Linked DNA regions of Saccharomyces cerevisiae S288C. Changing the gene in region 3 together with the main gene of any one other region gives a genetic interaction. Each region holds a gene or a part of one and is shown on either strand. Other genes may lie near its edges. The genes, in order: MFB1, PGM2 and BCS1.

Region 1 (11,165 bases), 320 kb from region 3:
TTATGTACGTATAGTAGCTCTTTTTTTGTATCGATTTATAAAAATGCCTGTTCTTACTATTCTTATGGGAATGACACAAAATGTAGACGCATGTCTTTTTCAGGCGTCCTTAATATGAGCGATCAAATTTCGCATCAAAAAAACTTTATTGAAGTTAGAATATATGAAAAAAAGCCACGAAATTTCTAAAGGCAACCACAAATTGTCTTATTATTGATAGAATATAAAAAATAAGTCATTTATTTATATGTACATCTGTGCAAATGGTAGCGGCGCTCTTTAACTGTTTCTACATACCATGCATGCTTGTCTAAAACCATTTCGAAGTTCCGTTGCTAATTCAGAGAAAACTCTTCCAAGCAAAGTCGGTTTGAGGCGTTTTCTGTTATATATTAAAATCGGTATTAGCGTCAAGCCGTTTGATTACATGATCATTCGTATTCGACCCACTAGGGTTATCCAATTCGATTTTGCGATAGCATATCTTATTACCGTCTGTAACAACCGCCTTTAATTTGCTTCTTTGATGAGGTTTGGATAATTCTATTACTGGGGAAGTGTGACTTCTTTGAAATTTATTTTCATCATTTTTCTCTGTTATTCCTTTACAGTTCGAGCTATTTTCTTTTATAATTAATTGTTCATAATTTGCTATCTTTGTACTGTTGACTCTTTTAATTGCTAGAGGATTAGTTGTTTCACCGTTAAAATCGGGATAATGCCTTTCAATCTCCTCTAAATAACCTCTTGAGACGCTCCTTCTGCCAACTTTCGGTAGTATGTCAGAAGGGGGACTTATGATTTTCCTAAAATCTTCGTCATTAGCACTTAACGAACTGGATAATTTCAATCTTGGATTGTCCTTTTTCTTTGTTTTTAATGGTCTGCTATCTCTAAAAATTAACTTCTCAAAAAGTTCGGCTTTATCCTTGACTTTATTAGATTTTCTCAATCTTGTGATTGAGTCAGACGATTCAGTAGATGTAGGCGTCATCTCTTTATAATCAGGATCTCGTGACTTAGTGAAATCCATTGTAATATTATTCCAATCATCGTCCAGTAGTTTGGGCGATGAACTTGAAAATACAGAATTTGTTGAACTTCTAGAATAATTAGAAAATGTCGGAGAAGGGATAAAAGGTGGCTTTTTGACTAAGTCTTCTTCAAATGTTGTATTTTTTTCCAATCCGTGGAGAGAATGTATTTCTCCATTATTCTCCTCTATGTATGTATCATCAGAATCCGCTGAATGGGTCCTAAATGCTTTATCATTGAGTTCGATGAATTGATTCATTCCTTGTAGTATTGCAGTATGAGCGATTTGCTCCCTTGTTATTTCTGTAGGTTCGTTCAAATCCATATTTAAATCTTTCACAGAGCCCTTTTCTTTGCTCTCAACTTCATTTGTTCTATAACTTATTGTCTTTCTAGCCGGATCAATAACGCCTAGTTTATATTTCCGCTGAACATTTCTTAATGATGCGACCAGGGATATGTTGTGACTATTTAAGGTTTTCATTGCCTTTCTATTAAAATTCAAAACATCAAAGACATCAACAAGAACATTTTTTGTCCACCACATATTCCCGTTTGAGCCGATAACAGCATTTCTGTAAACAATGTTCTCATTCGCCAGCATCCTTAGCAAGGTGCAAGTTTTCCCTATGTTTTGTAAATCATTCATATCCAGGTGAGACAATATTCGGAACAATAGGTTTAATGGTAAGTTTGTCAGGGACCTTTCCTCCAGCGGCATCTGTACACTACAAGAAAATAATGTCATCTATGTGGTTGAAGGAACTATAACTAATTCTGGAACAAAAGTGAACTTTCCTTGTGCAGTTTGGCCAATTTGTTTTGATATTTTGTATGAGGATATTTAGCAAGTAGTAACAGAGACTCCTTGGTTATTTGAAAACTTTCCCTTTGTTTAAACTATAGCAAAGTATAACTTTCCTTTTCCTATTTTGTGAAAAAGTAAGTAAATATTGTTATCTCCTCCCAACTGGTTAAATACTGGGTAGGTGCACAAGCGTTTATAGTTTCTAAGAAGACAGCACCAGGAATAATGATAAACAGTTGTTTGGGTCAAAACAAAACGGGTATTGCCAATGCCTTTTAAAATACTTACCCGGCCATAAAATGAATAATAATAGTGTATGAAGACTGTGTTGGAAGATGTTATGGTAGAAGCAGAGGCTTCCGCACTGCATTTAAGAAGCATAAAGGCACTTCTGCTATTTCATTAAGAAGATTCGCTATGGTGAGCATGTTCTCATTATTTCTGCTATTAATTGAGCAATCGCCGCTTGTAGCGTCATTGCAACAAAGTCAACGGCATATAGTGGGTGTTCCCTGGGAAAAGCAGCACTTGTATGACTCGAATGAACCAGATTTGACTAAATGGCACTGTTTGAACCACGAAGATATCGTATTGGATATAAGCCAGATTAATGATGGGGTTTGTGATTGTCCTGATGGTTCAGATGAGCCCGGCAGCGCCGCCTGCGTGGAAGATATATTCAAAAGCGTTGCAGAGGGAGGTGGTAAAGTGAATAAGTATTTTTATTGTGATAACAAGGGGTTTATTCCAAGATATATACGAAAATCGGAAGTCGCAGATGGTATTTGTGACTGCTGTGACTGTTCTGACGAGCTACTTTCTGGATATGAGCTCTTTGATGCTGGATCTAATTGTTCTCAGTTAAAAAACGAATTTGACATTATGGCCTCTAAAGAGTTATCAAGTTACCGGGAAGGTAAAGAGGCCCTAGAAGAACTGGAAAGAAAATACGGTACAAAGGAAGAGGCTATCACCCGTGGTAATTGCTTAGAAGAAGATAAGGAAAAAGCTTCTGCCGAGATAAAAGTACTCTCCAACAGGCTCTCAGAAAATCGAGCCAAATTAGAGCAGTTGAGAGGCGAGTACTTTAACCAATTAAGCCATGATCCCATTTTGTATCAATTTGAACAATTAAACAGTACTCGTTTGGGATCGGACATCCTTACATCGTTCACTATGGTTTCAAGAGTAAGTAAAGGTTACCAGGACATATTCAAGATTTTAAGTGATTTATCAGAGGCCTATACTCCCTCGCTAAATGATAAAGTTGTCAATGATAATATTAAAAAATTCAGAAAAGTTAGAAGACGGGCTGAAAAGGCTAAAATTAATGCAGATAGCAAAATTGATGATGAGCAGGCAGATAATCTTTACTTGTACTTTACAGAAGAAGTACCTCAAATTTTTTTGAAAAGAGAATCTGAGAACACGTTGAGGTACGTCATAGGAAAATCCAATTTTGTTCAAGCGCTAGTGGAGGGTAAAATTAACTATACCAACGATATCTTGGAGTATATCAGAGAATTCCGTTTGATTATGGATGATATTTCTCAGAATTACAATGTTAACTTTCAAGATGCAGGGGTCAAAAGTGCTGTCGATTCGTATAAAAACTACCTAGGTGAATACGGCGAACTGGCTGAATTAGAACCAGCTCACCCGTCAGAGAGCCTTTTGAGATCGTTGAGCGAAGTAACATCATTTGTGAACGAGAATGCACCAAAGGTATTGCCACCAGACGCTGTTGAGTCAGAACAAGATACGAACAGCGATCATATCGGTACTTCTGGAGATTTGCGCAATAAACTCAAAGAGATTCTATCTAAGCTGAATATTTTTTCATCTAGAAAAGATTTGGTCTCATTAGAGAAGAGATTCCGCTCTTGTGAAAGTCAAGTCAGTCTCCTGGAGAATGAATTAAAGCAAAAAATGGACTATAAGAAATTATTAGATGAAACTGAAGATGAAGGAACTAATTCTACTGCAGGAAATCTGACTGAGCTTTTAGAACTAATGGGATCACAATCCTATTGTCTTGACGACATACTGGACAACTATGTGTACACTATATGCTTTCAACGTCCAATGACCGAAGGTGTCATATATCAAGCTGAGGATAAGGTTGACGGTAAAAAAGTTTTGATCGGTCGTTTTAAGACATCAGGTTTTAATGTTGACTTAAACATGGAAAAATACGCAGAACATTTAAAGGCCACATATGATGAGAAGAGTGATTTGATTTCAAACTTAGCAGCTATACAGGACGATGACGGTAACATGCAACATTACGTATTCGGGAACTTAAACGAACTGAATAATGGTCTGGTACTAGAATACGAAAATGGAGACCAGTGCTGGAATGGTCCGCGCAGATCGGCTACTGTATTTGTTCGGTGCAGCGACAAATTCAAGATTCGGAGTGTACATGAAGCGACTAAGTGCAACTACATCTTCGATGTCGTTGGTCCTCTAGGCTGCAACAAGACTTTCGAATACGAGCCCCCTAAGTTCAATTTAAGTGAATGACTGGAAAATGAGTAGTTAGGCTTTTTTAGTAAGTAAACAACTAGGAAGGCCGATGCTGTGCCGTGATACTCTTTTCCGCAACAAAAGCAATATTTCCCTCGGCCAAAACGCGAAAAGACGATAAATAAGTATATCGTTCCAAATACTGATAGTTCTGTACGACCTGTTGGAATAACGCGAAAAGAAGGGTACGGCGTAATCACCCCACACGGCTTGTATTTTTTTCGGAGAACTAAGTCATAGACGTAATGCTAATTTTTCCGTCTAGCCGATGTTTATGCGGCTTTTATTTTTTTTTTTTTTTTTTTCTCATCTTTGTTCTTCCGGTTTCCAAGATGTCTCACAGATTATTACAGTGAATTCCAAAATCATGTTTACTACTGGAATTTGTATGCATATGTTTTGGCAATCTTAAGCCTACGGATTTTAAATGTGATGGATATAACGAACAGTGTTTACTGGAGACTCACTTCTCTGGGCTTGAGTTTACGATGTATAGTCATATAAAAATGAAGAAATTTCTTGAGTGACAATTGCCGCCGTACTTCGTATTGTCTTTTCTTGACAGTGAGGGCGTATAAGATACATCGTACATACATAGAGACTCATTTAGTGATGCTTGAATCGAGCAGTGATAAGATAAAGTTTGCGCCTATTAAAGAGGTAGATTACAAAAAACCGGTAAGTAAGAGTAAGAACTATACTCTTATTAATGACATCCAACCATTGGAGTGGTATTGTCACAATGATAGTGAAACGGGCTACCAACACACCATAAGTAACAAGACAGATGGTGGTAGAGGTTTATTCAGAGTGATGAAAAAATCGATGGAGACCAGAGTCGAGACCCAAACGTTATATTTCACAGATTTGCATACAGGCTTGTGTGGATTTGTTCAATTACTGTATTCTACGGTTATGGGTGGTATCTATAAAGGCTTCCAATTGAATTTCAAGGTTTTTGGCTCAGAAAGTAATAATACTGACTACGACGTTTGGGAAAGTTTTAAATTGGATGACATAGCTGAATTTCAACCATTAAAGTTTGTCTCTAGAAATGTTATTTTTGAATTTTTGAGCAACAAAAATGAAAAATTAGGTTCCATTGGCCAGTTATCTATCAAATGTGATTTACCAACATGTAACAATACAATTCAAAATTTGAAAATCGATTTGTTGGTGGATTTGTTTCAAGGTTTTAAGATGAACCCCAACGGTTGCAATTATTATTTTGACAAACAAATCTCGATGAGTGACGAATTCGTTTCCTCAGACAAAATGATCAGACATGTTTTTGTGCCCAGAGGTAAATGTAATGGTAATATTTCCTACGATAAAAAACTCAATAGTGGGGACTTTCAAAATAAAAATATTTCATTAACTGATGTTCCTGTCGTTTATCTGGACGCTGTTCAAGGTCTTTTGCCGAATAAAGCAGCCAGTAAATGGAATTTCCTATGTTTTCAGAGCGAAAACTACTCTGTTTTAGCAATTGAATTCACTACTCCTCGAGATCATGATAACGTCACCGTAACAGTTTGGTCAATTACTGAAAAAAACAAACTGATATCTATTGGTTCTTCTGTGCAGAGCCCAAAACGTCATGTTAGGTTCCGTGCTACGAGTACAGATAAGGAAAGCGGCTGGGTATATCCAACCTCTATCAAGTTCCCCGGTGGATTTTCAGAACACGACTTGAGGCTGGTTAATCGATACGACGTTCTCGGTGAGTTACCAAGCATGGTCAGGTCGTTAGCTCAGAAAATTGTGAGCATCAAACCTTTCATTTATCAATACTGTCAACCTTCTAAATATAAGCACGAGAAAGGTATTTCTATCGTTGAGAGCACCTTCATTAGTTGAACAAAAGCGTGAACACTTCCACATGAAATTCGTTTTTTGTCCTTTTTTTTCTCTTCTTTTTCTCTCCTGTTTCTTCTACCAACTTTACCTAATAATTAATGTGTAATCGAATTTTTTTACATAATCACTACCTAATAACTAATTTATCATCACTTTTTTTTTTCATTTTGAGGCCACACTTTCCCCCATGGACTATTGCATCATTGCGCCATGCTTCTTACTTGCGTAAGCCATAGAACGGAAATATCATGTTCCCCTTGCCGCATGCATATTGAAAACATCACGGGAACGAGAAGAATGGCATTTTCGAAATAAAAAGAAATCATATTTCAAATGTTGGGGAGAGAAAGCAAAGGGGAATCAATAATCATTAAGGGAAGTCGATGAAAGTTTCCTTTTCCGAACTCTACCTCGCCTTATATAAAACCTTGGTCTAAACGGATAAACCGAGATGTAGTTGAGTTTGTGAATCCAGTTCTTGTCCTTCTTCCTCTTTCAAAAAGTGAAGCAATCAGTTGAGAGTGTAGCTATAGAGGTGTGTACTCTAGAAATCAGACTTTCATAGCAAGCAGACTTTTTTTTTGTTGAATCTTACTAGCGGATTTTTTAGAGTTTTCTTCTTCGGACTAATCTGTCAATGGTTCCAGTAAGATTAATGAGTCAAAAGCCCTCTATAATTGTATCGAGAAATTTCTTAAAAGAAGGAATATAATTATTGCGGTCACTAGAAAGTTATAAGAAGGTTACCATTTAACTGAACAGCAGCGGTATAGTACGGAATAAAAAAGTCTTTTAAAATGTTGCTTAGTGCGCCTGTTAACAGTACCGTGCGGCGCAAGCCACACAGTCCAAATAAAAAAAAGCCAAAAGAGACAGGTACAGCTGCTTCCTTTTCGTCGTCCTCTTCAACTGTCGTCCTTTCATCCAATAATGATGGCAGCTTTGATGCTCTTTGGGACCCCTCTATAAGTAAGGCCTCGGATTTTGAGAGTAGCTATATTAGTGCTAAACGATTAAAACCAGAAAGTAGTAATAGACAGAAAAAAAAAAATTCTTATAAATATTCTAGGGAGGAAAACACCAACGAGGTAGAGGAAAAGACGTCTCTTGGCAGCAGCTCTAAGACAGAAGCAGATAATATATTTAATGACCAGCTCACGTCAGCTGGCAATACTACATATGTCAGTAATAAGCGCGATGTAAACTTCGGGGCGAATTCGGCTGTAGTACTGCTCGGTTTGCCAACAAGTAAAAGTGAATCTCACCGACAATACCACAGTCCTTCGGCTTCAACAACTAATGAAGATGAAGAGGACATTGGTGTTGATATTTTAGTAGACAACCACATCGATAGTTGCGAAACAGTATCGATAAATAATAATAGAGGTATTACACACCAATATCCAGAAACGGAATCAGATGTCGACTTTGATGAGGCCGTGATATTGACACCAATGGATGGTACGGATAAGGGAGTGAAAAATCCAAGACCACTCGAAAAAAAATATAGTAGCAGTTGTTTTGAGGACCGTACGCCCCTTAACTTGGATGATGGTCATTTCAGTGAATGCAATCATTTTTCTACATTAGATGTGTCTAGCTTTTTTCATCTCAACGAGCATGTGCATAAAATCGACGAAGTAGAGCTCGATGGACCTGATCGCACCTTTAGTCTAGACAACGTCGCTATTAATACAAGGAAAAAGGATATTGATTGCCTCTATAATAGTTCAAGAGAAGACTTATCCAACCTCACATGTTCTTCGGAAGGCCCAAGGAATGATAGTTATGATAGTGATTACAACATTGATGAGGTCACTTATAGAGATGATGAATCAACAGATGAAGACGAGAGCTTACCAACCCCAGATCGAAAAAGGAAGAAAATTGGCCATAAAGCTTGCGAAATATTGGATTCTAAAAGAATTGGAATAAAAGTACCAAAGTTATACGTTTGGTCTTTAAGTGATAAACCGTTTAGTGTTATCGATGGGTTGTGCACAAAATCGCTGTACCCATTGAGTGATGACATAAATACTCCTGAAAGTTTGAGCTCATGCTCAAGCTCAGTAAGTTCACGGGAAAATCAAAAAGGAGATGCAACATTTGATAATGATGCTATGATAGCCGACCTTCTAAACATAGGCGGACTCGAAGTAGAGAAGGCATCCAATGGCCATATTGAGCTCATAGGCGAGTGATTATTTGATATTCCAGAAGAATCATTATCGTCTTTTAAAGGAAAATATGATCGTTTGCGAAAAAATAGAAGCACTTTACTACTTGAATTGTCATAGAATAGTAGGAAAACCTACTTAGTCAGCGAAGATCAACTTGGAATATCGTATGATGAGATGGAGAAAAATTTAGGGGCCGAAATGGATGGATCCACTTGAGAGAGGATCAAGGAATACTGAAGTGCAGCTGACGATCCAGTCAGCGACATCTGTCTTTTTTTAATTACTATTGCTGTGTACTTATAGAGTCGGTGGCATTTATTTTATTTTTAGTATTTTTTTATACGTGCGTATTCTATTGTTCATTTTTTTACCAATTTTTTTTTTATTTTTATATTTTGTTTCTTGCGTGGAGTTTTTACAGGAAGTTAATCACAACAGAGGGTTCAATCTCCAAGGCATAAAATAAACAAAAATTGTAATAGTTAGCAACTGCAATACGAATTAAAATTTGAGGAAAAATCTAGTATTGTTCACACGAGCCAATGCTCTGAAGTTTCGAAAGCTAATAAATATCATGTGGAAACTTTTCTGAGTCATTAATAAGCAACACTATTTATTCTTCTTATAATTAGTCTTACAAGTAAACTGCCTTGCCGCATAAGCGCATTCCCTCTATGAGACCATTTGTAATTTCGAGAACACAATTTTACAACCGAGTAAATATCTTATAATCATTAAAATTATTAAACTATTATACAATTTTTTTTACTTTACTTTAATTTTTATATACCCATATAAATAATAATATTAATTATAACCAAAGGAAGTGATTTCATTATGCTTGAGTAGAGGAAGAGTACTTGGTAACAGCTCTAGTACCTTCAGAGACAGCATGCTTAGCCAATTCACCTGGTAAGATCAATCTAACAGCGGTTTGAATTTCTCTAGCAGAGATAGTAGACTTCTTGTTATACGCAGCCAATTTAGAAGCTTCAGTAGCGATTCTTTCAAAGATATCGTTAACGAAAGAGTTCAAGATAGACATGGACTTTTGGGAAATACCAGTGTCAGGGTGAGTTTGCTTCAAAACTTTGTAAATGTAAGAAGAGTATGTTTCCTTTCTAGCCTTGCTTCTCTTCTTACCATCAGTGGAAGTGGAAGTCTTTTTAGCGGCTGGTTTCTTTTCAGCTGGGGCTTTGGAGGCTGGTTTCTTTTCGGCTTTAGCAGACATTGTATGTGTGTATGGTTTATTTGTGGTTTGACTTGTCTATATAGGATAAATTTAATATAACAATAATCGAAAATGCGGAAAGAGAAACGTCTTTAATAAATCTGACCATCTGAGATGATCAAATCATGTTGTTTATATACATCAAGAAAACAGAGATGCCCCTTTCTTACCAATCGTTACAAGATAACCAACCAAGGTAGTATTTGCCACTACTAAGGCCAATTCTCTTGATTTTAAATCCATCGTTCTCATTTTTTCGCGGAAGAAAGGGTGCAACGCGCGAAAAAGTGAGAACAGCCTTCCCTTTCGGGCGACATTGAGCGTCTAACCATAGTTAACGACCCAACCGCGTTTTCTTCAAATTTGAACTCGCCGAGCTCACAAATAATTCATTAGCGCTGTTCCAAAATTTTCGCCTCACTGTGCGAAGCTATTGGAATGGAGTGTATTTGGTGGCTCAAAAAAAGAGCACAATAGTTAACTCGTCGTTGTTGAAGAAACGCCCGTAGAGATATGTGGTTTCTCATGCTGTTATTTGTTATTGCCCACTTTGTTGATTTCAAAATCTTTTCTCACCCCCTTCCCCGTTCACGAAGCCAGCCAGTGGATCGTAAATACTAGCAATAAGTCTTGACCTAAAAAATATATAAATAAGACTCCTAATCAGCTTGTAGATTTTCTGGTCTTGTTGAACCATCATCTATTTACTTCCAATCTGTACTTCTCTTCTTGATACTACATCATCATACGGATTTGGTTATTTCTCAGTGAATAAACAACTTCAAAACAAACAAATTTCATACATATAAAATATAAAATGTCCGGTGGTAAAGGTGGTAAAGCTGGTTCAGCTGCTAAAGCTTCTCAATCTAGATCTGCTAAGGCTGGTTTGACATTCCCAGTCGGTAGAGTGCACAGATTGCTAAGAAGAGGTAACTACGCCCAAAGAATTGGTTCTGGTGCTCCAGTCTACTTGACTGCTGTCTTGGAATATTTGGCCGCTGAAATTTTAGAATTAGCTGGTAATGCTGCTAGGGATAACAAGAAGACCAGAATTATTCCAAGACATTTGCAATTGGCTATCAGAAATGATGACGAATTGAACAAGCTATTGGGTAACGTTACCATTGCCCAAGGTGGTGTTTTGCCAAACATCCATCAAAACTTGTTGCCAAAGAAGTCTGCCAAGGCTACCAAGGCTTCTCAAGAATTATAAGATCGGTTCTGGTATTTTAAAGAAGGCGGAAGGAACTAAACTGCTTCTCCATTGTAACTATATTAAGTGTCTATTAGACCTTTCTGTTTTTCCTTTTTATTTTTCTATATATAATTTATTGGGTATATAATTAACGGTAACATATGTCATGCATGATATAAATTTTTTGTTGTGTCTTCCTGTTTTCTCTGTTGCTCTGTTTAGGTTCATTGGGCACTGTTGCTTACTTGAACATGATTGAGTAGCAAACACATTCTGTGCTTTGTTCACTTTGATAGTGTGACGAAATTTTCACAACCAAAGGAA
Region 2 (11,165 bases), on a different chromosome or scaffold from region 3:
CTACCATCTTCTTTATTGCCGCTTAATTGTAACACGTCTACATTACCAGAATGATGAACTCCGCCTGTCAGATAGTCGTGCTTTGGTGCGGTCTTGATAAAATTGTTGATTGCTTCCATCGATATCATGATTCAGCCTAGGATTTGTGGGTTGCTTTGATTGATTGGAAATGATCGACTATGAGACCTTGAACCAGTTTAATTTTAAAATAAATATTTTTGTTGAACTAGTTCAGCAACCGAAATCCAGAAAAAAAGTTCTAGAAGAATAGTTTTATTAACTTTGAGAAAGTAAAAGCTGAGATAAAAAACCAGCTCAACATATAAGAATACAAGCTGACGGTAAATAACAATAAGTAGCCTTGTTGGCGCAATCGGTAGCGCGTATGACTCTTAATCATAAGGTTAGGGGTTCGAGCCCCCTACAGGGCTTCTTTTTTTGAAGATTCAAGTAAATATGCTGCATACATAATTCTCATTCAAAATATATACACTTAAGACATCTGGCCTTTTCTAGTTAATCTATATATTTAGTTCTTATAATAGATGAATGTACCGTCAACCAAAGATTAGCAGTTGGAGGGCGTTAAAAACAATTTACCATTGCCAGGATTCGACAACACTATTGTAACGTATTTCTGTTTCTGGTCTTGGAGTAATGTTTGTAGTCTATTAGCGGAAGTACCTTTTTACAGTGTCGACACAATTTGACTATTTTTTCAACTAGATTACCGCATGTCCGTCAGGGCATTTGTTGTCATGCAAAAAAATGAATAAAAAAAAAGGGCATCATCAAGAGAAGAAAACCTAATTAACGAGAGTGCAGGACATATGCACAAATAATATATCTCACACCATAATAATGTCAAGTGAGTCAACAACTTTCATCGTGGATGTTTCACCATCAATGATGAAAAATAATAATGTTTCCAAATCTATGGCATATCTAGAGTACACTCTATTAAACAAATCTAAAAAAAGTAGAAAAACAGATTGGATAAGCTGTTATCTCGCTAATTGTCCCGTATCTGAGAATTCCCAGGAAATACCAAATGTGTTCCAAATACAATCCTTTTTGGCTCCTGTTACCACGACGGCCACCATTGGGTTTATAAAACGCCTGAAACAATATTGTGATCAGCACAGTCATGATAGTTCGAATGAAGGCTTACAATCAATGATTCAATGTCTGTTGGTCGTCTCATTAGATATTAAACAACAATTTCAAGCAAGAAAAATTCTAAAACAAATTGTTGTATTTACAGACAATTTAGATGATCTGGATATTACTGATGAAGAAATAGACCTGCTAACGGAAGAATTAAGCACAAGAATCATTTTGATTGATTGCGGTAAAGACACTCAAGAGGAGAGGAAAAAATCGAACTGGTTAAAGTTGGTCGAAGCGATACCGAATTCAAGAATCTACAATATGAATGAACTTCTTGTTGAAATCACTTCCCCAGCAACATCTGTCGTTAAGCCAGTAAGAGTATTCTCAGGCGAGCTTAGGTTAGGGGCAGATATATTATCAACACAAACATCGAATCCTAGCGGCAGCATGCAAGATGAAAATTGCTTATGTATCAAGGTAGAGGCTTTTCCTGCTACGAAAGCAGTTTCAGGCTTAAATAGGAAAACCGCTGTTGAGGTGGAAGACTCCCAGAAGAAAGAAAGGTATGTGGGGGTCAAATCCATAATCGAATATGAAATTCACAACGAAGGAAATAAGAAAAATGTCAGTGAAGATGACCAGTCTGGATCGTCATACATTCCCGTGACCATCTCCAAAGACTCTGTAACGAAGGCATACCGTTATGGTGCAGACTACGTAGTGCTACCGTCCGTTCTAGTCGATCAAACTGTATATGAATCTTTTCCAGGCTTGGATTTAAGAGGATTTTTGAATAGAGAAGCTCTTCCAAGGTACTTTTTGACGTCGGAATCCTCCTTCATTACCGCCGACACAAGACTTGGCTGTCAATCTGACTTAATGGCTTTCAGTGCTCTAGTGGATGTTATGCTAGAAAATAGAAAAATTGCTGTTGCAAGATATGTGAGCAAGAAAGACAGTGAAGTGAATATGTGTGCATTGTGTCCCGTTCTAATTGAGCACAGTAACATTAATTCCGAGAAGAAGTTTGTTAAGAGCCTTACCTTGTGTAGATTACCATTCGCGGAAGACGAGAGGGTAACTGATTTTCCAAAACTTCTGGATCGAACAACTACATCCGGGGTACCGCTGAAAAAGGAAACAGACGGGCATCAAATCGATGAGCTTATGGAACAATTTGTAGATTCAATGGATACAGATGAGCTACCAGAGATTCCGTTAGGCAACTACTATCAACCCATAGGCGAAGTAACAACAGACACCACTCTCCCACTTCCCTCTTTAAATAAAGACCAAGAGGAAAACAAAAAGGATCCTCTTAGAATACCCACGGTTTTTGTCTACAGGCAACAACAGGTGCTACTGGAATGGATTCACCAACTGATGATCAATGATTCCAGGGAATTTGAAATCCCAGAGCTTCCTGACTCATTGAAAAACAAAATAAGTCCTTACACGCACAAGAAATTTGATAGCACAAAATTGGTTGAAGTGCTCGGCATCAAGAAAGTAGACAAATTAAAACTCGACTCCGAACTAAAAACTGAGCTTGAGAGGGAAAAGATCCCGGACCTAGAAACGCTATTGAAGCGCGGTGAACAACACAGTAGGGGAAGTCCAAACAATAGCAATAATTAAAAAAGGTCTAACATCCTTTGAGTTATGTTTTCGTCACCACAGTTAAAGAGAAAAAAAAATAAATAGCGGGTAAATAATTGTCATACTACTGATTTGCATTGTTACCTTGTAACTTTGAACACTAGCCATGCAGGTTGCTTTTCCTCCTTTACACCTTCCCCCCTGTCGCTGTTCAAAAGTAAATGCAACAACAATAAAACGTGGGTAGAGGACGTTCCCTGTATGTACTAAAATCATACTATCATCCGTTGAGGTCGAGCGGTTCTCTAATCTCAACACACGCTGCTGCCCCTGAGCTTGCGAGCTAAGGACAACAGGGCCAACTTGTTCTTTCTAGGGGGGAGAGGCCCAACTTAGGCTCGGTGAAGAGAAGCGCGGAGCTCACGAAAAGGGGTGGTGTCGCGCACTACTTTTTTCGTGGGGAACTTACGTGAAAGGGGACGTTATACTTTTGTTATGTGCAGTTCCAGGAACAAACAGGGGTTGAAAAGTGTAAAAGAAATAGTTGATTCTTTCAGAATCTGGATGACTGCCGCCCGAACAATGTGGGAAATATAAAAAGGTACCGTTAATATTGTTTCATTTTCGAAGATAGTGTTCCATGTCTTTCTTCAGCGTTGCTTGAACAATAGGATAATAAGAAGAAGATCAACCAATCTTTCTCAGTAAAAAAAGTAACAAAAGTTAACATAACATGTCATTTCAAATTGAAACGGTTCCCACCAAACCATATGAAGACCAAAAGCCTGGTACCTCTGGTTTGCGTAAGAAGACAAAGGTGTTTAAAGACGAACCTAACTACACAGAAAATTTCATTCAATCGATCATGGAAGCTATTCCAGAGGGTTCTAAAGGTGCCACTCTTGTTGTCGGTGGTGATGGGCGTTACTACAATGATGTCATTCTTCATAAGATTGCCGCTATCGGTGCTGCCAACGGTATTAAAAAGTTAGTTATTGGCCAGCATGGTCTTCTGTCTACGCCAGCCGCTTCTCACATCATGAGAACCTACGAGGAAAAATGTACTGGTGGTATTATCTTAACCGCCTCACATAATCCAGGTGGTCCAGAAAATGACATGGGTATTAAGTATAACTTATCCAATGGGGGTCCTGCTCCTGAATCCGTCACAAATGCTATTTGGGAGATTTCCAAAAAGCTTACCAGCTATAAGATTATCAAAGACTTCCCAGAACTAGACTTGGGTACGATAGGCAAGAACAAGAAATACGGTCCATTACTCGTTGACATTATCGATATTACAAAAGATTATGTCAACTTCTTGAAGGAAATCTTCGATTTCGACTTAATCAAGAAATTCATCGATAATCAACGTTCTACTAAGAATTGGAAGTTACTGTTTGACAGTATGAACGGTGTAACTGGACCATACGGTAAGGCTATTTTCGTTGATGAATTTGGTTTACCGGCGGATGAGGTTTTACAAAACTGGCATCCTTCTCCGGATTTTGGTGGTATGCATCCAGATCCAAACTTAACTTATGCCAGTTCGTTAGTGAAAAGAGTAGATCGTGAAAAGATTGAGTTTGGTGCTGCATCCGATGGTGATGGTGATAGAAATATGATTTACGGTTACGGCCCATCTTTCGTTTCTCCAGGTGACTCCGTCGCAATTATTGCCGAATATGCAGCTGAAATCCCATATTTCGCCAAGCAAGGTATATATGGTCTGGCCCGTTCATTCCCTACCTCAGGAGCCATAGACCGTGTTGCCAAGGCCCATGGTCTAAACTGTTATGAGGTCCCAACTGGCTGGAAATTTTTCTGTGCTTTGTTCGACGCTAAAAAATTATCTATTTGTGGTGAAGAATCGTTTGGTACTGGTTCCAACCACGTAAGGGAAAAGGACGGTGTTTGGGCCATTATGGCGTGGTTGAACATCTTGGCCATTTACAACAAGCATCATCCGGAGAACGAAGCTTCTATTAAGACGATACAGAATGAATTCTGGGCAAAGTACGGCCGTACTTTCTTCACTCGTTATGATTTTGAAAAAGTTGAAACAGAAAAAGCTAACAAGATTGTCGATCAATTGAGAGCATATGTTACCAAATCGGGTGTTGTTAATTCCGCCTTCCCAGCCGATGAGTCTCTTAAGGTCACCGATTGTGGTGATTTTTCATACACAGATTTGGACGGTTCTGTTTCTGACCATCAAGGTTTATATGTCAAGCTTTCCAATGGTGCAAGATTCGTTCTAAGATTGTCAGGTACAGGTTCTTCAGGTGCTACCATTAGATTGTACATTGAAAAATACTGCGATGATAAATCACAATACCAAAAGACAGCTGAAGAATACTTGAAGCCAATTATTAACTCGGTCATCAAGTTCTTGAACTTTAAACAAGTTTTAGGAACTGAAGAACCAACGGTTCGTACTTAAAACGAATGATTTACTAATGGCTTAATGATTTTCACCTTTTTCAATGAATATTAACGGTAAAGAAGAAAATTTCAATTTTTTGAACACATACTTTATATACTTAATAGATCCATATTTCGACATATTAGCAAACGATTGCATAGGTTTCTGAGTCTTTTTTTTTTTTTTTTCATAAGGAGGAGAATATTTTGGTTAATCGCAGTATCTTCTTCATAAGTGCTGTTTCTAATTATATCTAATTCACGAATTTTTCCCAAATTAGCGTATCCCCGAATTCAGATTACCTACCCCGAGTTTTTTATTATATTTCCCTCGAGAAATCTGTAAAATGGCCGTCATCCTTAGATTTATAAATAAAATGATAAAATTCAGCCAAAGTGCTCCTAAACCAGAATTGTTCAACTGGGTCAAATTATCGCGTATACAAATATACATATAGTAACATGCATTCCTGGCGAATATCCAAGTTTAAGTTAGGAAGGTCCAAAGAAGATGATGGGAGTAGTGAAGATGAAAATGAAAAATCGTGGGGTAATGGCCTGTTTCATTTCCACCATGGAGAAAAACATCACGATGGTAGCCCGAAGAATCATAATCATGAACACGAACACCATATAAGAAAGATCAATACAAATGAGACTCTCCCAAGTTCCTTAAGTTCTCCAAAATTACGTAATGATGCATCCTTCAAGAATCCATCGGGGATAGGAAATGACAATTCTAAGGCTTCCGAAAGGAAAGCTAGTCAGTCGTCTACTGAGACGCAGGGACCGAGTTCGGAATCCGGACTAATGACAGTGAAGGTGTATTCTGGTAAAGATTTTACTCTTCCCTTCCCTATCACCTCTAACTCTACTATTTTACAAAAACTACTAAGTTCCGGCATCCTTACTTCATCATCCAATGACGCTTCCGAAGTTGCAGCCATAATGCGGCAGCTACCACGATACAAGAGAGTGGATCAAGATTCAGCAGGGGAAGGCTTGATAGATAGAGCTTTTGCCACTAAATTCATTCCTTCCTCTATATTGTTACCTGGGTCAACAAATTCAAGCCCATTACTTTATTTTACAATTGAATTTGATAATTCTATTACTACTATTAGTCCAGATATGGGAACGATGGAGCAACCAGTGTTTAACAAAATATCGACATTTGATGTAACAAGAAAATTACGATTTTTAAAAATCGATGTCTTTGCAAGGATTCCATCCCTACTTTTACCCTCTAAAAACTGGCAACAGGAGATTGGCGAGCAGGACGAAGTACTGAAGGAGATTTTAAAAAAAATCAATACAAATCAGGATATCCATTTGGACTCCTTCCATTTACCTTTGAATTTAAAAATCGATTCTGCAGCCCAAATAAGACTATACAATCACCATTGGATTTCTTTAGAAAGGGGATATGGTAAATTAAATATCACGGTGGACTACAAACCTTCTAAGAACAAGCCTCTCTCCATTGATGACTTTGATCTATTGAAGGTTATCGGGAAGGGTTCGTTCGGCAAAGTGATGCAAGTAAGGAAAAAAGATACCCAAAAGATTTACGCTTTGAAGGCTCTGAGAAAAGCATATATTGTATCGAAATGTGAAGTGACACATACTTTAGCGGAGAGGACTGTCCTAGCAAGAGTTGACTGCCCCTTTATTGTTCCGTTGAAGTTCTCATTCCAATCTCCGGAGAAGTTGTACCTAGTATTAGCTTTCATTAATGGCGGTGAACTGTTCTACCATTTACAACACGAGGGACGATTCAGTCTAGCACGCTCCCGTTTTTATATTGCAGAACTATTATGTGCTCTCGATTCATTACACAAACTTGACGTCATTTATCGTGACCTAAAGCCTGAAAACATTCTATTGGATTACCAAGGACATATTGCACTGTGTGATTTTGGGCTTTGCAAGCTGAACATGAAGGATAATGACAAAACAGACACTTTCTGTGGTACTCCCGAATATTTGGCACCAGAAATCTTGTTGGGGCAGGGCTATACTAAAACAGTTGACTGGTGGACATTAGGTATCTTACTGTATGAGATGATGACAGGGCTGCCACCATACTATGATGAGAACGTTCCTGTTATGTACAAGAAAATTCTGCAGCAACCGCTACTATTTCCTGATGGATTTGACCCTGCGGCAAAAGACCTATTAATTGGCCTCTTAAGCAGAGACCCAAGCAGAAGACTCGGCGTTAACGGTACAGATGAAATTCGTAACCATCCTTTCTTTAAAGACATCTCATGGAAAAAGCTACTTTTGAAGGGCTATATTCCGCCTTACAAGCCAATTGTAAAGAGTGAAATAGATACTGCAAATTTTGATCAAGAGTTCACTAAGGAAAAACCGATCGATAGTGTAGTGGACGAGTACTTAAGTGCAAGTATTCAAAAGCAGTTTGGTGGGTGGACGTACATTGGTGACGAACAGTTGGGTGATTCTCCTTCGCAGGGGAGAAGCATTAGTTAGAAGCAAGCCGAAGCAAGCCGAGCCGAGCCGGACGGAATTTATAGCTATAGCCGCAAGAGGTTGCAATTTTCAAAAATGGATAGTTCAAGTAGATTGCGATACGCACTCCGTTACTATTGTGGTTAACGGGGACAAGAAGAACTACAGAAAATAGAATGGTCCGCAGAGGCTGCGCTCTTCTTTTAGCAACTCTCACACGACTTATGTTGCTTATTCATTTCTTTTACAGCATTATCAGAATTCTTCCATCTACGGAATTGAGATCAAAGACCGACCTGTTGTCGGCCGAAGGACGGACGCTTATACCCGCGGATGTCAAAGCGAAGCCCGCGGGGCGCAAGTCGAGGTTACCGGAATTCGCCAAACGGCAAAGGACCCTTGCATTGCCTGAAAGGAAAGATTCGCTTTTCTGTTTGTTGCCACTTTTCTTACATAGTCTGGGCCGGGAGCAGCTTATTTCTTCCGCGGATGATCCTGGATTTCCTTGCGCGGGCTCAGCCATGGGGAGCCTTACCTAGTCCCGTAAAGGGAAAAAGCTAACCTCATTCGCCTCACAGGGTGAAAGCGTGAACAAAAAAAAAAGAAAAGCTTAATGATTAAAATTTACAGTATATATATATTTGTATTTACGTATTAAACTATATATAAATAGATATGTATGCCGAAAAAGTAAAGTCTGGGTGATGCCTAGTCCAATCTTTCTTACTACTGTCCAGTTTCTATCGTAGCAGTTAATTATACATAGAACTGTGTAAATTCAACGCATTAATTTTTTTTTTTTTCACTTTCGCAGTTAGGGGGGACACATTTTTTTTGCCCTTTCTTAAGCTTCGTAAGCGAGTTACATCATTATTTCTTCCTGGGATACAATACGCGTTCGTACAAGTCACAGCTGGACCGTATAGGGAACAAGACTGCAACTCTCTCCAACTTGTTAAACAGAGGAGGAAAAGAAAGAGGGAAAAGAGGAACAAAGACAATCAAAGAAAAAGAATAGAAAGCAGTTGCTGAGCTCTTGGCATATTGTATACGGTAGTGGCGTATAATATAGTACGAGAATTAGAAATATGACGAATATGGCGGAGGATAAAACAAGTATAAGCAAGGTACATTCTGAATTCAGCAATTCCTCGAATACCACTGGATCTGAAGAGGAGAGTCGGTCGCATCAAGAGAGCTTCGACGGCGAGTCCAGTTCCGGTGAAAGTAAAAGTAAAAGCAAACTAAATCTTGAATATTCTGCAGATATCGAGCCATTGAAGTTCAGAATGACAAAAACTAATAATACAAATGACAAATTAAAATATAGTAACAACGGCAACGCCACTGATTCATTTATGAGACTAAAGGAACATTTACAGAGAGGCAATACTTTAAATTCGAATCTTAGGGTCAATGAGTTTTACCCTTTCAATTCCATTGATACAGAGCAATTTGAAAACTATTTGAGAGAGCCAAAATACATTAAAATGTTGAAACGTCGGAAAAACCTGAAACAATTTAGAAGATTGTTTCTCGCGCAAGAACTAATGGCCTACGAAGGTGAAACGGTTACCTCCACTTCCAAATCATCTGAACCAACCTCTAAAGCTATATGGAGTACAAAGTTTAGCCGCGATGGAAAATTTATGGCCACTGGTAGCAAAGATGGTAAAATAAGAATATGGAAAGTTATTGGCTCTCCAGTTGAAAGAGCCGAATTGGACTCGAGTGCGGAATCAAATAAAGAGGCACGAGCCAAGTCGATGCGGATCAAACAGCAGGTCAGTTCATTGAACAATCCAAAAGAAAAACAATTTTTGGATTCTGCTACAGAGAAATACGAAGAGAAGGAAAAATTATTGAATTTGTATGCGCCTGTCTTTCACCCAACGCCTTTGCGACTGTATAAAGAACACGTGCAAGATGTTCTGGATATAAATTGGTCTAAAAATAATTTTATTTTGTCAGCATCGATGGATAAGACAGTAAAACTATGGCATCCCGATAGGAAAAATTCACTTAAGACATTCATACATCCTGATTTTGTCACTTGTGTGGAATTTCACCCCACCGACGATAGATTTTTCATTAGCGGCTGTCTGGATCACAAATGCAGGTTATGGTCTATACTGGATGATGAAGTTAGCTTTGAGTACGATTGTCAAGACTTAATAACATCTGTTACATTATCCCCTGAGGAGGGAAAATACACTATAATAGGAACATTTAATGGATACGTTCATATTCTGATGACCAGAGGTCTCACTCCAGTTTCTTCATTTCACGTAGCTGATAGACAAACACAAGAACAAAACGCTCACGTCATGGTCACGGAAACTGACTCAAAAATTCGTCATGGTCCACGTGTGACGGGTTTGCAAGCTTTTAGATCTCAACTGGACAATTCTTTCCGCTTAGTAGTTACATCGAATGATTCGAGGATAAGAATTTTTGACTTAGAACAGAGGAAGCTTCTAGAGGTATTGAAAGGCTTCCATAGCGGATCTTCCCAACACAAGGCACAATTGTCCATCTGGCATGGTCAGCCAATCGTTGTAAATAGTAGTGATGACCATTGGGTTTACGGCTGGAGGTTAAAGTCTTCGGATAGAGAGAATGATCAAGACGAACCTAAAAGGAAACCAAAGGGATTGGCTCGGTCCGGAAGTTTGAGAAGCATATTTAGTAAATCAATGAGTAGGTCTTCCAGCCAGAATAACGAAGAAAAACCACATCATCATTTAAAACTTACTAACTTACTTCCCTTGCCTCATCATAGCAACGATCATTATATCAAAAATACGGATTACATTTCTTTTCATGCACACAATGCCCCTGTTACTTGTGTTAGCATTGCACCGCCAGAAACTTCGAAAACATTATCTTTGTCTAACGATGTTATCTGCGAGCTATCTCTAGAGTTTTTTCAGACATCCGATAGTTTCGATGTTTTGAGTCGGAGTAACGACGATGGCATAATGTCAGATGTAGAGTCGTCTTTGGGCTACAATTCTAAACCAGGCTCAATTTCTAATGCTTCCGCCACCAGTGCTATCCCAGATGTCGTTGACGCAATTGGAACGATATTGATCAGTACTGATAACGTAGGGACTATTCGTGTGTTTAGAGCAGATATGCCCTCTGTTATAAGAAAGCGCGTGTTACTCAAACTAGAAGAATACAATAGAGAGGTTCGGAGAAGGTTTAACAGTTCTGATTCTTTGCATTCTTTGAGTCGAAGCTTCAACTCGAGAGCGAAATCAAACTTGGCTGGCCAACCGGCAGCGGCGTATACTAATACTGGAAAAGGCTATGCAACGGGACGTGGATACTCTAATATATGTCCCAAAAGCAGTACATCACTAAAAACACTCGGCAGTAATGCACAGCCAAGAACACCAAGGGAAAGCATGTCATCTATTTTCTCCAATGCACATGGGCCTACCACTCCAACGAGCGCAATGAATTTACCTATCCGTTGCAATGTTTGTAACGGTTCAAGGTTTGAGGCTTTTTCTGGTGCTAATGACCAACAAGATAGAAACTATTAT
Region 3 (11,165 bases):
TTCGATATGATTGGTTCTCTCCGTAATAAGATCAACCCTTTTAAAATATTTACATTTACAAGAAGATGTTAGAAATATATTAACGATCTATTTTATATGCCTTCTACACCGTTCCACAACTCTTCAAAAGTTAAAAACTTTGACCGAGTTTTGTGTTCCTTTTTGCCCCGAAGCAATTCCTTCTTGTTGATTCTTTCCCAATCCTTCCATGTGGTGTGCTTGATATTAGAGAGGTCGATAGAATTCTCTAAGGATAGCGCTCCGCTGACCACCAAGTCTTGTATTACTCTGTCTCCAACTTCAAAAGCATCTTGCATTGTCGAGGCAATAACGCCCTGGCTGCCCTTACGGATCCAACCAGATGCATATAAATGTGGGAATATTTCTCCGCTGGAAGTTAAAACACGACCCTGTTTATTAGCTATATGATCTTTGTCAAATCCAATAGACAACTTAGAGAATTCAGGCATGGGAACGCCTGCATATCCCAATGAAGTAATCAGCAAATCCACTTTATATGTCATAATATTATTGACGTCCTTCAAGGGTTGCAAACTGTTATCTTCATTTAATCGATTGTTACATAAACTCAAAGAGTTGATTGCACCAAAATCGTCTCTATTAATTTTCAAGGGAGTCTTCAAATAATCTAACTCCCAGAATTTGTCATATCCGCTGCTTGGAGGAGGAGCCTTTTTATAGTTTTTCTTCGAACGTTCATTAAATGGCTTGAGATACTCACTACACATCTCTACTCGTCTATTGAATGCACGATCGTACTTAGATGGGTCAAACATTTCTTTCTGGAAAAATTTAGGATCAATACGGCCACGTATGCCATACTTTTCTAACTCCCATAGTTCTCTTAATTCTTTGTTGGTGAATTTGGAATGAACGAAATCCCTTCGTGCAATTAGCTTAACGTCCTTTACAGGTGCCCTTCTTAGCAAATTTAGTGCAAGAGATGAGATGTCCGTATTTTCCCATATTTCATCAATTTGATTAGAAATAAGTACACGCGTAATATCAAGAGCAACGTTACCGTTTCCTATAATACCAACTTTCGAAACTTTGCTCCAGTCAAAATCGGTAAATCGCTTATCCTTTGCGAAATCAGGATGACCATTGTACCAATTGACAAATTCTCTACTGCTAAACACCCCTTTTGTTCCGAGTTCGCCAGGGATATTCAGCTTTCTGTCCCCTGTACAACCATAACTTAAAATAACAGCATCTTGATTATCCAGCAATTCCTTCAACAATATTTCTTTTCCAATGGTTATACCACCAACAAAGGAAAATTTATGCTTTTGGTTTGTAGGGGAAGAAAACTCTTCTGCACATGTGGTAAACGTTTCTTCACAATTTTTGACTTCTGGATGATCAGGTGCCACACCATATCTACTTAAACCAAAAGGAACAGGTAACTTTTCCCATATAGTAACATTTAATGGAATCGGTGACTTCTTGAGTAAATGGTACGCTGTATAAAAGCCGGAAGGCCCCGATCCAACAATGGATACAGTCTTACGGTTTATTTGTGAAGAAATGTGCCTTATTTGAACAAAGCTCATTTTCACAAGTAATGAGCTAAAAAAGGAAGAAGAAAGAGTGAGAAACTTTCTAAATGAATGAATGAGGCGTTGTGGCCAAGAACTATAGCAAGCAAAAAACTTTCTGTTACGTTCGAGCTATAGTTTACTGCTCTTCGAATTATATCTCGATTGAGTTACCCTTAAAGAGTGCCGAAAAATCGATGTAAATAGTATAAGTAAAGATTTCCACTCTTCTATATTTGCAACGCAGTAGACGTACCAAGGGACGATTTGAAAAAAAATGAAGTGTGCCCTCAATCTACCATGTCGGATAAGCCGATTGACATACAATATGATAAACAGGCTACTCCAAATCTGAGTGGTGTAATTACTCCGCCAACAAATGAAACTGGTAATGACTCAGTCCGGGAAAAACTTTCAAAACTAGTTGGCGATGCTATGTCAAACAATCCCTATTTTGCCGCCGGCGGTGGTCTTATGATCCTTGGTACAGGTTTAGCTGTAGCTAGATCCGGTATAATAAAAGCCAGCAGGGTCCTATACCGACAAATGATTGTCGACTTAGAGATTCAGTCGAAGGACAAATCATACGCCTGGTTTCTAACATGGATGGCCAAACATCCTCAAAGGGTATCTAGACACTTATCCGTTAGGACAAACTACATACAACATGACAATGGATCAGTTAGTACAAAATTTTCGCTGGTTCCGGGTCCGGGAAATCATTGGATTCGTTATAAGGGTGCTTTTATCCTGATTAAAAGAGAAAGGTCCGCAAAAATGATAGATATCGCAAACGGGTCACCATTTGAGACCGTAACCTTAACTACACTGTACCGTGACAAACATTTGTTCGATGACATTTTGAACGAGGCTAAAGACATAGCCCTGAAGACTACTGAGGGCAAGACTGTTATTTACACTTCTTTCGGCCCTGAATGGAGAAAGTTTGGTCAACCAAAAGCTAAAAGGATGCTGCCCTCCGTCATTTTGGACAGTGGCATCAAAGAGGGTATTCTCGATGACGTTTATGATTTTATGAAGAACGGCAAATGGTACTCTGACAGGGGTATCCCATATCGCAGGGGATATTTACTCTATGGCCCTCCCGGATCTGGTAAGACTAGCTTTATCCAGGCTTTAGCGGGCGAATTAGACTACAACATTTGTATTTTAAACCTCTCCGAAAATAATTTAACAGATGACAGATTAAACCACTTAATGAATAACATGCCAGAAAGGAGCATACTATTACTGGAAGATATTGACGCGGCGTTCAACAAAAGAAGTCAAACTGGTGAACAAGGTTTTCATTCTAGCGTAACATTTAGCGGTTTACTGAATGCCCTGGATGGCGTCACATCTTCTGAAGAAACTATTACATTCATGACTACCAATCATCCTGAAAAGCTAGACGCGGCTATAATGAGACCAGGTCGTATTGACTACAAAGTCTTCGTTGGTAACGCAACTCCATACCAGGTAGAAAAAATGTTTATGAAATTTTACCCAGGTGAGACTGATATATGCAAAAAGTTTGTAAATAGTGTTAAAGAATTGGATATCACCGTAAGTACCGCCCAGTTGCAAGGACTTTTCGTTATGAATAAAGATGCACCACACGATGCGTTGAAAATGGTCTCCAGCTTACGGAACGCTAATCATATTTTCTAGGTGCTAAGTGGCGCCTTACTACATAACTTGTATATAATAAAAATTCAGAAGATGCTTTAACTTTTTCTCGTTAATAAGACCGAGTTATTTGCTATTACGAACAAAAGAGTATATGATAAAGAGGCTTAAAAATACCCCTTCATTGACTATCCAGAAAAGCCTGCGTTGCAGCTTCAATATGATAAGGATATACTTCCCTCAAACCTTCTGCAGTTGCCCTTGTTCTAGCATCCAGCAGAATTTTTCTTAAAATGGCCTGAAATCCACATGCCAATAATAATTTCTTGTTATATTCTTGACTAGACTCTTGATCTTCATTTTGCCGTTGGAGAAGATCTTCTAGCTTATTCTCCTCCGCATCTAAACTAAGCTGCCGTAGCAAATAATTGGCCAATGCTTCCGTATCCATGGAAGAATGTTAGGAACTGTTGCTATTGTTGTACTTTGGTTATACGACAGTAAGTAACGTTGACTTGGTGACCGAAAATAGACACGAAATCGCTACCCGTTTCCCCAGAATATCACTCCTCACGATGTACCTCGGCGGCTAATCTTTTTGGTAGCCTTTTGTGATATATATATAAATAAATAAGTATACATACATATATATATATATATATTTATACAGCTACATTGTTTTCCTCCAAAATTTTCTGTTGGTTATGAATCGCAAAAGAAGTTTTCAGATTGTGTCCTCTGTTACTATTTCGTTAAGAAAGGAAGATATCGTCTACGGCTGGTGTGACGTAAGTATTGCGTTGTGCTCTAAAAATGAATCAAATCTGGTCTACAGGTCCCCCAAATTTTTACTTCAACTCTGAATGGAAAGAAAATAAGAGAAATGACAGGACAATTGAAGACTCTTTAAGAGAACTAGATGGGTTGATCCATTCCTTGGAGAGAACTCATATTGAAGTACAAACAAACCCAAAGCTAAAGAACGATGTCACAGCTTTAAATGATATTAACAAGAAAGAAAATAAAGAAGAGATCACTCATGAAAACTATACACACCAGATTAATAGTATTCCATTGACAAGCTCAAATTTAAATCGGCATTTCTCCTTTTCTAGAGACTACAACCAATCTGATAATAGCAATAATAATTATTACAGGGAATATTTATCCAAACCAAGGTATTTGCAGCAGTCAACTAAAGAACAAACTTTCAATGAAATTAATAAAAGAAAAAGTGCTGCAATTATTCCCCCTTGGTTAAATATTCCAGAAAACTCAAGATTTTTTGTAATAAAGTCCTCGTCTTTGAAGCATGTCAAAAGGTCGTTTTACAACGGAATTTGGTCGTCTACTCATTTCGGCAACAAAAGGCTATCTGAGGCATATAAAAAGCTTAATTCGGGAGCCAAAGTGTTTTTATTTTTTTCAATCAACACATCAGGAAGATTCTGTGGCGTTGCAGAAATGGTATCGGATTTGAAAATGGATTTGGACACCAGTATATGGGAAGATGAACAAAAATATGGCAAAGCCTTTAAAGTAAGATGGGTGATCGTGCGTGATATAAATAACAGATCGTTAAAAAGGTTTTTGATACCATCCAATGAAATGAAACCGATAACACATTCCAGAGATACTCAAGAAATTCCATATTCGATTGGAATTTCAATAATTAATCTATTTAAAACTCAAGATTCTGATATTTTCTCCTTCTTGGATGAGACGTATGAATAGACCTTATCCCTCATTTATCAACATTTTATTCTCATTTATTATTAGTATTATTATTATTTTTAATATTATTTTTATTTAAAATTATCCTAAAATTACTTCTACTGTTATAACATCCAATCCATAAGAAGCAAAAACAAAGTTTTCATATTAAGCCATCGTAAAGGTTTAAGGCACCAATAATAGAGGGATCGACTTTAGAACCTTCTCTGAATTCGTCCAGCGTAATGTAACCATCTTCGTTCTTATCCATCAACTTGAAGATCTTCTTTACCCTCATTTCGGGCGTTGCCTCATCCTCATTAAGTGTAACCATAGACCCCATCATTTTATAAACACTCGCCACAATGGTTAGCATTTCATCAAATGTAATATATCCATCATGGTTCAAATCATAAAGTTCGAAAGCCCAGCTCAGTTTTTCCTCCAAAGTTCCTCTGGACGTTGTACTCAAAACTGTGATAAACTCTTCAAAATGTATGAATCCATTGTTGTCTTTATCAAAAACTGTAAAAAGGTGATTAGCAAAATCTTCAGGAGAACCAAATGGAAAAAACTGTTTGTATATCTTAACAAAATCTTCCCTAGCTAGTTGGCCACTAGGGCAATCCCTCAAAAATCCTTTATGCCATTGCTGGATTTCTCTTCTATCAAAATAGGTGGATTGTTTCAAACATGTCAGGTCATCTTTGGAAAGCTTTGACGTCTTGGCTCCCATTTTTTTTTTGAATCAAAAACAGTTTTCAAGCACAAAATAACTCTCGCCGATTCTTAAACTAGCAACAATTATAAAACAGGAGGTAATATCCCTAGTTCATCAGTTCAATCGTTGACAAATTAAACATTATTTCAGTACTCTATGGTATAATAATAAAAAATACACCGAAGAGTTACCCTTTTTTCGTTTTTAATGATCAATTCTGGCTCATTTTTTTACTTCCTGAGCAGTCAACTACTACTGAAAAAAAGAGGCTAATGGGTACGCATTTACCTAAAAACAATTAGATCCCTGCCTTGGATCGTAATCTTGTTTATCTATCCTTTTTGGACATTGACATCTATTTGTGTCGCAGTTAATTGCTTTCTGGGTACGTTGACTTTTTCAGTTCTATATCGGCCCGTTGCTTACTCTGTTCAACTCACTTATTCTTTTGTTTCGGTTTGGGCTGCTGCATTTATAGATTAAAAATAAATTTCAAATTTCCACGCTAACAAATAGAGCTAAATTAGCAGTTTCATTGTTGGCTATATTTTCATTACAACTTTTGATCTGATAACGTAAAAGAATTCAAACAAAAACTATCTAAAAAAATACAAAGCAAAAATCATGTCTACTTTACAACGTCGTAGAGTCAATAGGGCGGATTCTGGAGATACTTCCTCCATTCATTCTTCTGCTAACAATACCAAAGGAGACAAAATCGCAAATATTGCTGTTGACGGGGATGATGACAATGGAACAAACAAAAAGATTGCATATGACCCAGAAGAATCGAAATTGAGAGACAACATCAATATCCCTACGTTAACGTTGATGGAAGAAGTCTTATTGATGGGCTTAAGAGATAGAGAAGGATATTTGTCGTTTTGGAATGATAGTATTTCATATGCTTTGCGTGGTTGTATAATTATAGAATTAGCGTTAAGAGGTAAAATCAGAATCTTAGATGATTCCGCCAGGAAAAGGTTCGATCTTTCCGAAAGGTTGATTGAAGTTATTGACAGTTCCAAAACTGGGGAAGTTTTACTGGATGAAACTTTGCAATTGATGAAAAACGACGAACCTTTGTCAATTTCTAACTGGATTGATCTTTTAAGTGGTGAAACATGGAACCTTTTAAAGATCAACTATCAATTGAAACAAGTAAGGGAAAGATTGGCAAAAGGTTTGGTCGATAAAGGTGTATTGAGAACAGAAATGAAAAATTTCTTTTTGTTTGACATGGCGACACACCCCATTGCAGACGCCAGCTGCAAAGAAGCCATTAAGCGCAGAGTACTTTCTGTACTCGTATCGAGGAACATGGAATTAAGTTACAATGAATATTTTCCGGAGACAACATCTTTCAAAATCATTAGAACTTTAGCTTTAATATGTGGATCATATGGGGCAAACGTATTGGAGAATGTCCTGACTACGTTGGAATATGAGAAGAGAGATAAGGCAATTAGTAGAGCTGAAGAAATAATGGCACAATTTTCGCAATACCCATTTGATTTAGAAAAGGAAACTGAGTTAGGTGTCTCCGTTAATTTAAACAAGGAAGTTAAAGAAGAGATAGAAAACAATCCTGGTCATGATTTACAATTGGAAGTTATTGCTGGTGTATTTGAAGTCTTTTCAAGAATGGATATGCTATTATGAAAATAACAACAAAAATCCTCTCTTTGAAACATAAGGAAAAGTCAAGCTTTTTTTTATAAGCCTCTAACATTAATAAACGAAATTTGTATATATGTATATACATATACGGAGTGGATAATAAATAGACCAAACTTTTTGTTATTATATACGCCCACATTCGTATTCATTGCTTTCTTGAATCCAAATGCTTTAAATATGGAGATAAAAATCCGCCATCGCCATATTTATTCAAGTAATATTTTTTAACTCTCACATCTTGAAATATTGATGGTTTTGATGACACATTAAAGTGCAAGCCTTCATTAAATGCGTTTATCAACGACCTTGACTCATTTGCATAAGCTTCACCACATGACTCCCACCAAAAGCCTCCGCCTAAATTGTTATGTGTCACATATTCAGCCTTAGTTTTGACTGATTTAGTGTTATCATAACTGATAAATATTGAATTTTTTTCATCAAAGCAATATGCTGAAACATATTTTGGATCGTATTGTTCTATTGTACCAATCTTTGGTAAATTTTTGTAAGGCCAGATGCCCTCCTTGCCATCAGCTTTATCTATTTCTTTAGTGGGCTTGCCCACTCCTTTGAAAATTTTGTTAATTAATACAGTATTTTGATTGAATGGTTCGAATTTGTTATCTTTGATATGGAAACTTCTTCCGTAGGCGGCCATTCCCAGTACTAATTTTCTAGAATTGACGCCAAATCTATCGATCATATAATGCATGGCAAAGTTTCCATTCAATTCCGTCTCACTGAATAGATTGCTGTGATATCCTGTTGTTTCTGACCACGAGCCATAATAATCGTACGTCATCATATTCCAGTAGTCAACATATTGATCAATTTCTGTGATTGGCAAGTAAAATAATTTATCCTTGAATGCAGGTGCCGCAATAGATAATTGAAAATGATCTTCAGTACGTTTCCCAAATATTTGGGATTCGAGGCTGTTTAGTTTTAATCGCAGCATTCTGACCAGTTTCAGATATCCGCGAGGTTCTGATTCATTGTTACCAGGGAACTCCCAGTCTAGATCAATGCCATCAAATCCTAATCTGAACATTGTTTCCACCGACGAATCAACAAAATTTTGTAAGAGTTTATCATCTTTAATTATGATTTTGAAATTTTCACTATCAGACCAGCCCCCAATTGACATGATAACTTTAAATTTCTTATCAGAACAGGTATTCTTCAAATAAAATAGTTCACCAATGCAACCTAAGGGTAGGATGTTTTGGACACTATTGTTCGAGCTTTCTTTAATTAGTTCTGAATTTTTAATTGCCAGCGATTTATACAAATTCATTTCTAGATCAGACCAACTATCCGTGTTTTCTATACCACCAGTTCTAGAGTTTATTTTGAAAAATGCATAGTAAATGTGAGACACTTGCTTCAAGTTTATGTCGTGAGGGAAATGAAACCTCGGTTTGTATGGGGACCAATTGGAATAATAGACCCCTGATATAAAGGCTTCGTCTCTTATATGGGTTCCATGATTTTGGACATTACTGGGAACTCGATGTCCGCCATTGTTAAAGTTGTCTCTAATATCATCCGACCTTTGGTTCTTAAAAATTTTATTATATAAACACATTTCAATAATAATCGTTATAAAGATAAGTAGTATTAGTAGGTGAGACACTAAGCTGCTTTTTGATCTGTGCTGAGCTGAGTGTCCTACCATATGATCACTCTTGTATCGTCTACTTATAGAGGTTGTTAGTACCAACCTGCAAATACAATTGTTGGACCATACTACCACAAAAGGTTCTTTTCGTTGGTGTATCCTCACAAATAATGATTATTCCACCAAAATCACCAAATTATTGTGTCAAACTAACTGGGATTACCCCACTATTGATTTTTCCAGTTTTTCCGCAATTTTCGCAGCATGTTTTACTTTTATAATGGCATTGTTGCATTACAGCGCCAGTTGTAGGTATCGATGATTTTATGTCAAAGTTTTCTTTCTAGCCAAACTCAGTTATGTCAACTGAACAAGATGCTGTTCTTGGATTGGCCAAAGATTTAGAAGGTATAAATTTGCTTACTGTGCCCAATCTCGAGAGAGGACACCAAAGTAAATTATGCAAAGAGAAAACTACTTCTGATTCATCTTCGTCAAGGAAGCCTTCACAACAGAGAGACAATTATAGAAAGAGACGTCCGAAACTTATATGTATCCCATATACGTCTTTTCTGCATACTGGTATGCACAATTTTTTGACGAAACCACCAAGAGATATATTTCATGAAAGTAAAGAAGTAGCTCTGTTTACCAATGGCCGGGCTTATACAATCCTACGCAAAGACCTTATACCAAATTTGAAAGAAAGTATTGCTGAATTGTATGAAAGCTCGCTTCTTGAGGCAAAAAAGCGGAAAGTCCCGTATTTAGGCCATGACTTATTTGCTAATATTGATGAGTTCGTTCCCATGACAATATCCGAATTAGATAGTGTATCACCGTGTTTTTCATACATTGAGAACTGGATACTAGATAATCCTGGTAAGGATTTTAAGATCGGCAAGAAATTTACTGTTGTAACCACAAGACATCATATCGTAGATTTGACTATGCATCTCTTTAACAGGCGAAATAGACAAACGTCACTAATTGTAACTTATATGGGGGCGGGCCTTCTTTCATTTTGCAGAAATGTAAAAAAAGATTCTCAAATGTCCAAAGAGGGCATTTATTCAAATGATCCAAATATGAAGAAAATTTGCTATTCAGGATTTGAATTTGAAAATTGGGTAACCGAAAATTCCAAAGTCGCTGATTTAACTGGCTCTAAATGTCCTATTTTTTCTCTTGTAGAGAGTAAACTTTCAGAAGAAATTGGTCTTTTAATTCGCTGCGAAATGGATGCATTCAATCCTGTTTCGGAGACAAACACAGAACTAAAGTGTTTTGCCCCATTATCAATGCACAATTCCAATCATAGGAGAAAACTTCTGAAAACGTGGGTACAGACGGGTTTATTACCGAACTCAGATATCATGATAGGTTTGAGGGACAGTCATAGCGGTCAATTACTAGACATTCAATGGTACTCAAGGGACTTATTATGTAAGAAATTCAATCACCCAGGTCTACCTACAAATAAAAAGGAACTTAACTATAATGCCCAAATTGCGGTAGAATGGTGTCATTATTGTATTGAAGCAATTTGTAAGCTGGTGGAGGCAAATATCTCTGACTATAGCAGTACAAAACCAGAATCATTTGAAATCGGTATAGATACTAACAACGCCATCGTCATCACTAAACTTAAGACTACTCCAAGAAACGTAGAATTATTTGGAATGTAGAGACGTGTATAATATATAATACTTTTCCGAGAAATATTTCATTTTCATTTTCGTAAAGTTGTTAACTACGCTAAATATTAGTACTTTTCTTAAATTTATATGGGGAGCCCTTTTTTTCTATGAAAAGCAATGCGTAAACCAAATAAGCAGAATTTTGTAATAGATGAGCAACAATACTGAGAAGGTGATAACTATAAATTTATGTGGGTAGTACGATACCAGAATACATTGGAAGATGGCTCTATTAGCTTTATATCATGTTGTCTTCAGGCCTTCAAAACTTATAGTATAGGTAGATCAAGTAAAAACCCACTGATAATTAAAAATGATAAAAGTATTTCCAGACAGCATATCACATTCAAATGGGAAATCAATAATAGTTCGGATCTGAAACACAGTAGCCTGTGTTTAGTTAACAAGGGTAAATTGACATCATTAAATAAAAAATTCATGAAAGTTGGCGAAACATTTACTATTAATGCCTCGGACGTTTTAAAGTCCACAATAATTGAACTGGGTACAACTCCTATTCGTATAGAGTTCGAATGGAT

What was found.
Region 1: mutations in BCS1 (region 3) and MFB1 together harm fitness more than expected from each alone (negative genetic interaction), as found in Saccharomyces cerevisiae (2 studies listed by BioGRID).
Region 2: mutations in BCS1 (region 3) and PGM2 together harm fitness more than expected from each alone (negative genetic interaction), as found in Saccharomyces cerevisiae (2 studies listed by BioGRID).

What each region holds. Positions count from the first base shown.
Region 1 is NC_001136.10:905,070-916,234, forward strand, and holds MFB1 (Mfb1p), read right to left. Parts: upstream 1,784-11,165; coding exon 386-1,783; downstream 1-385. Other genes in the region: GTB1 (Gtb1p), read left to right, coding at 2,261-4,369; YDR222W (uncharacterized protein), read left to right, coding at 4,985-6,232; CRF1 (Crf1p), read left to right, coding at 7,030-8,433; HTB1 (histone H2B), read right to left, coding at 9,248-9,643; HTA1 (histone H2A), read left to right, coding at 10,461-10,859.
Region 2 is NC_001145.3:469,887-481,051, reverse strand, and holds PGM2 (phosphoglucomutase PGM2), read left to right. Parts: upstream 1-3,445; coding exon 3,446-5,155; downstream 5,156-11,165. Other genes in the region: YMR106W-A (uncharacterized protein), read right to left, coding at 1-128; ATP-dependent DNA helicase YKU80, read left to right, coding at 862-2,751; YMR105W-A (uncharacterized protein), read right to left, coding at 2,794-2,988; putative protein kinase YPK2, read left to right, coding at 5,599-7,632; YMR103C (uncharacterized protein), read left to right, coding at 7,788-8,150; LAF1 (Laf1p), read left to right, coding at 8,700-11,165. UniProt on the Saccharomyces cerevisiae protein: Major phosphoglucomutase isozyme that catalyzes the reversible isomerization of alpha-D-glucose 1-phosphate to alpha-D-glucose 6-phosphate. The mechanism proceeds via the intermediate compound alpha-D-glucose 1,6-bisphosphate.
Region 3 is NC_001136.10:1,217,231-1,228,395, reverse strand, and holds BCS1 (bifunctional AAA family ATPase chaperone/translocase BCS1), read left to right. Parts: upstream 1-1,859; coding exon 1,860-3,230; downstream 3,231-11,165. Other genes in the region: ARH1 (NADPH-adrenodoxin reductase), read right to left, coding at 93-1,574; WIP1 (Wip1p), read right to left, coding at 3,370-3,639; PHO92 (mRNA-binding phosphate metabolism regulator), read left to right, coding at 4,002-4,922; FRQ1 (frequenin), read right to left, coding at 5,065-5,637; VPS74 (Vps74p), read left to right, coding at 6,247-7,284; CTS2 (putative chitinase), read right to left, coding at 7,448-8,983; DXO1 (Dxo1p), read left to right, coding at 9,286-10,614; XRS2 (Xrs2p), read left to right, coding at 10,816-11,165.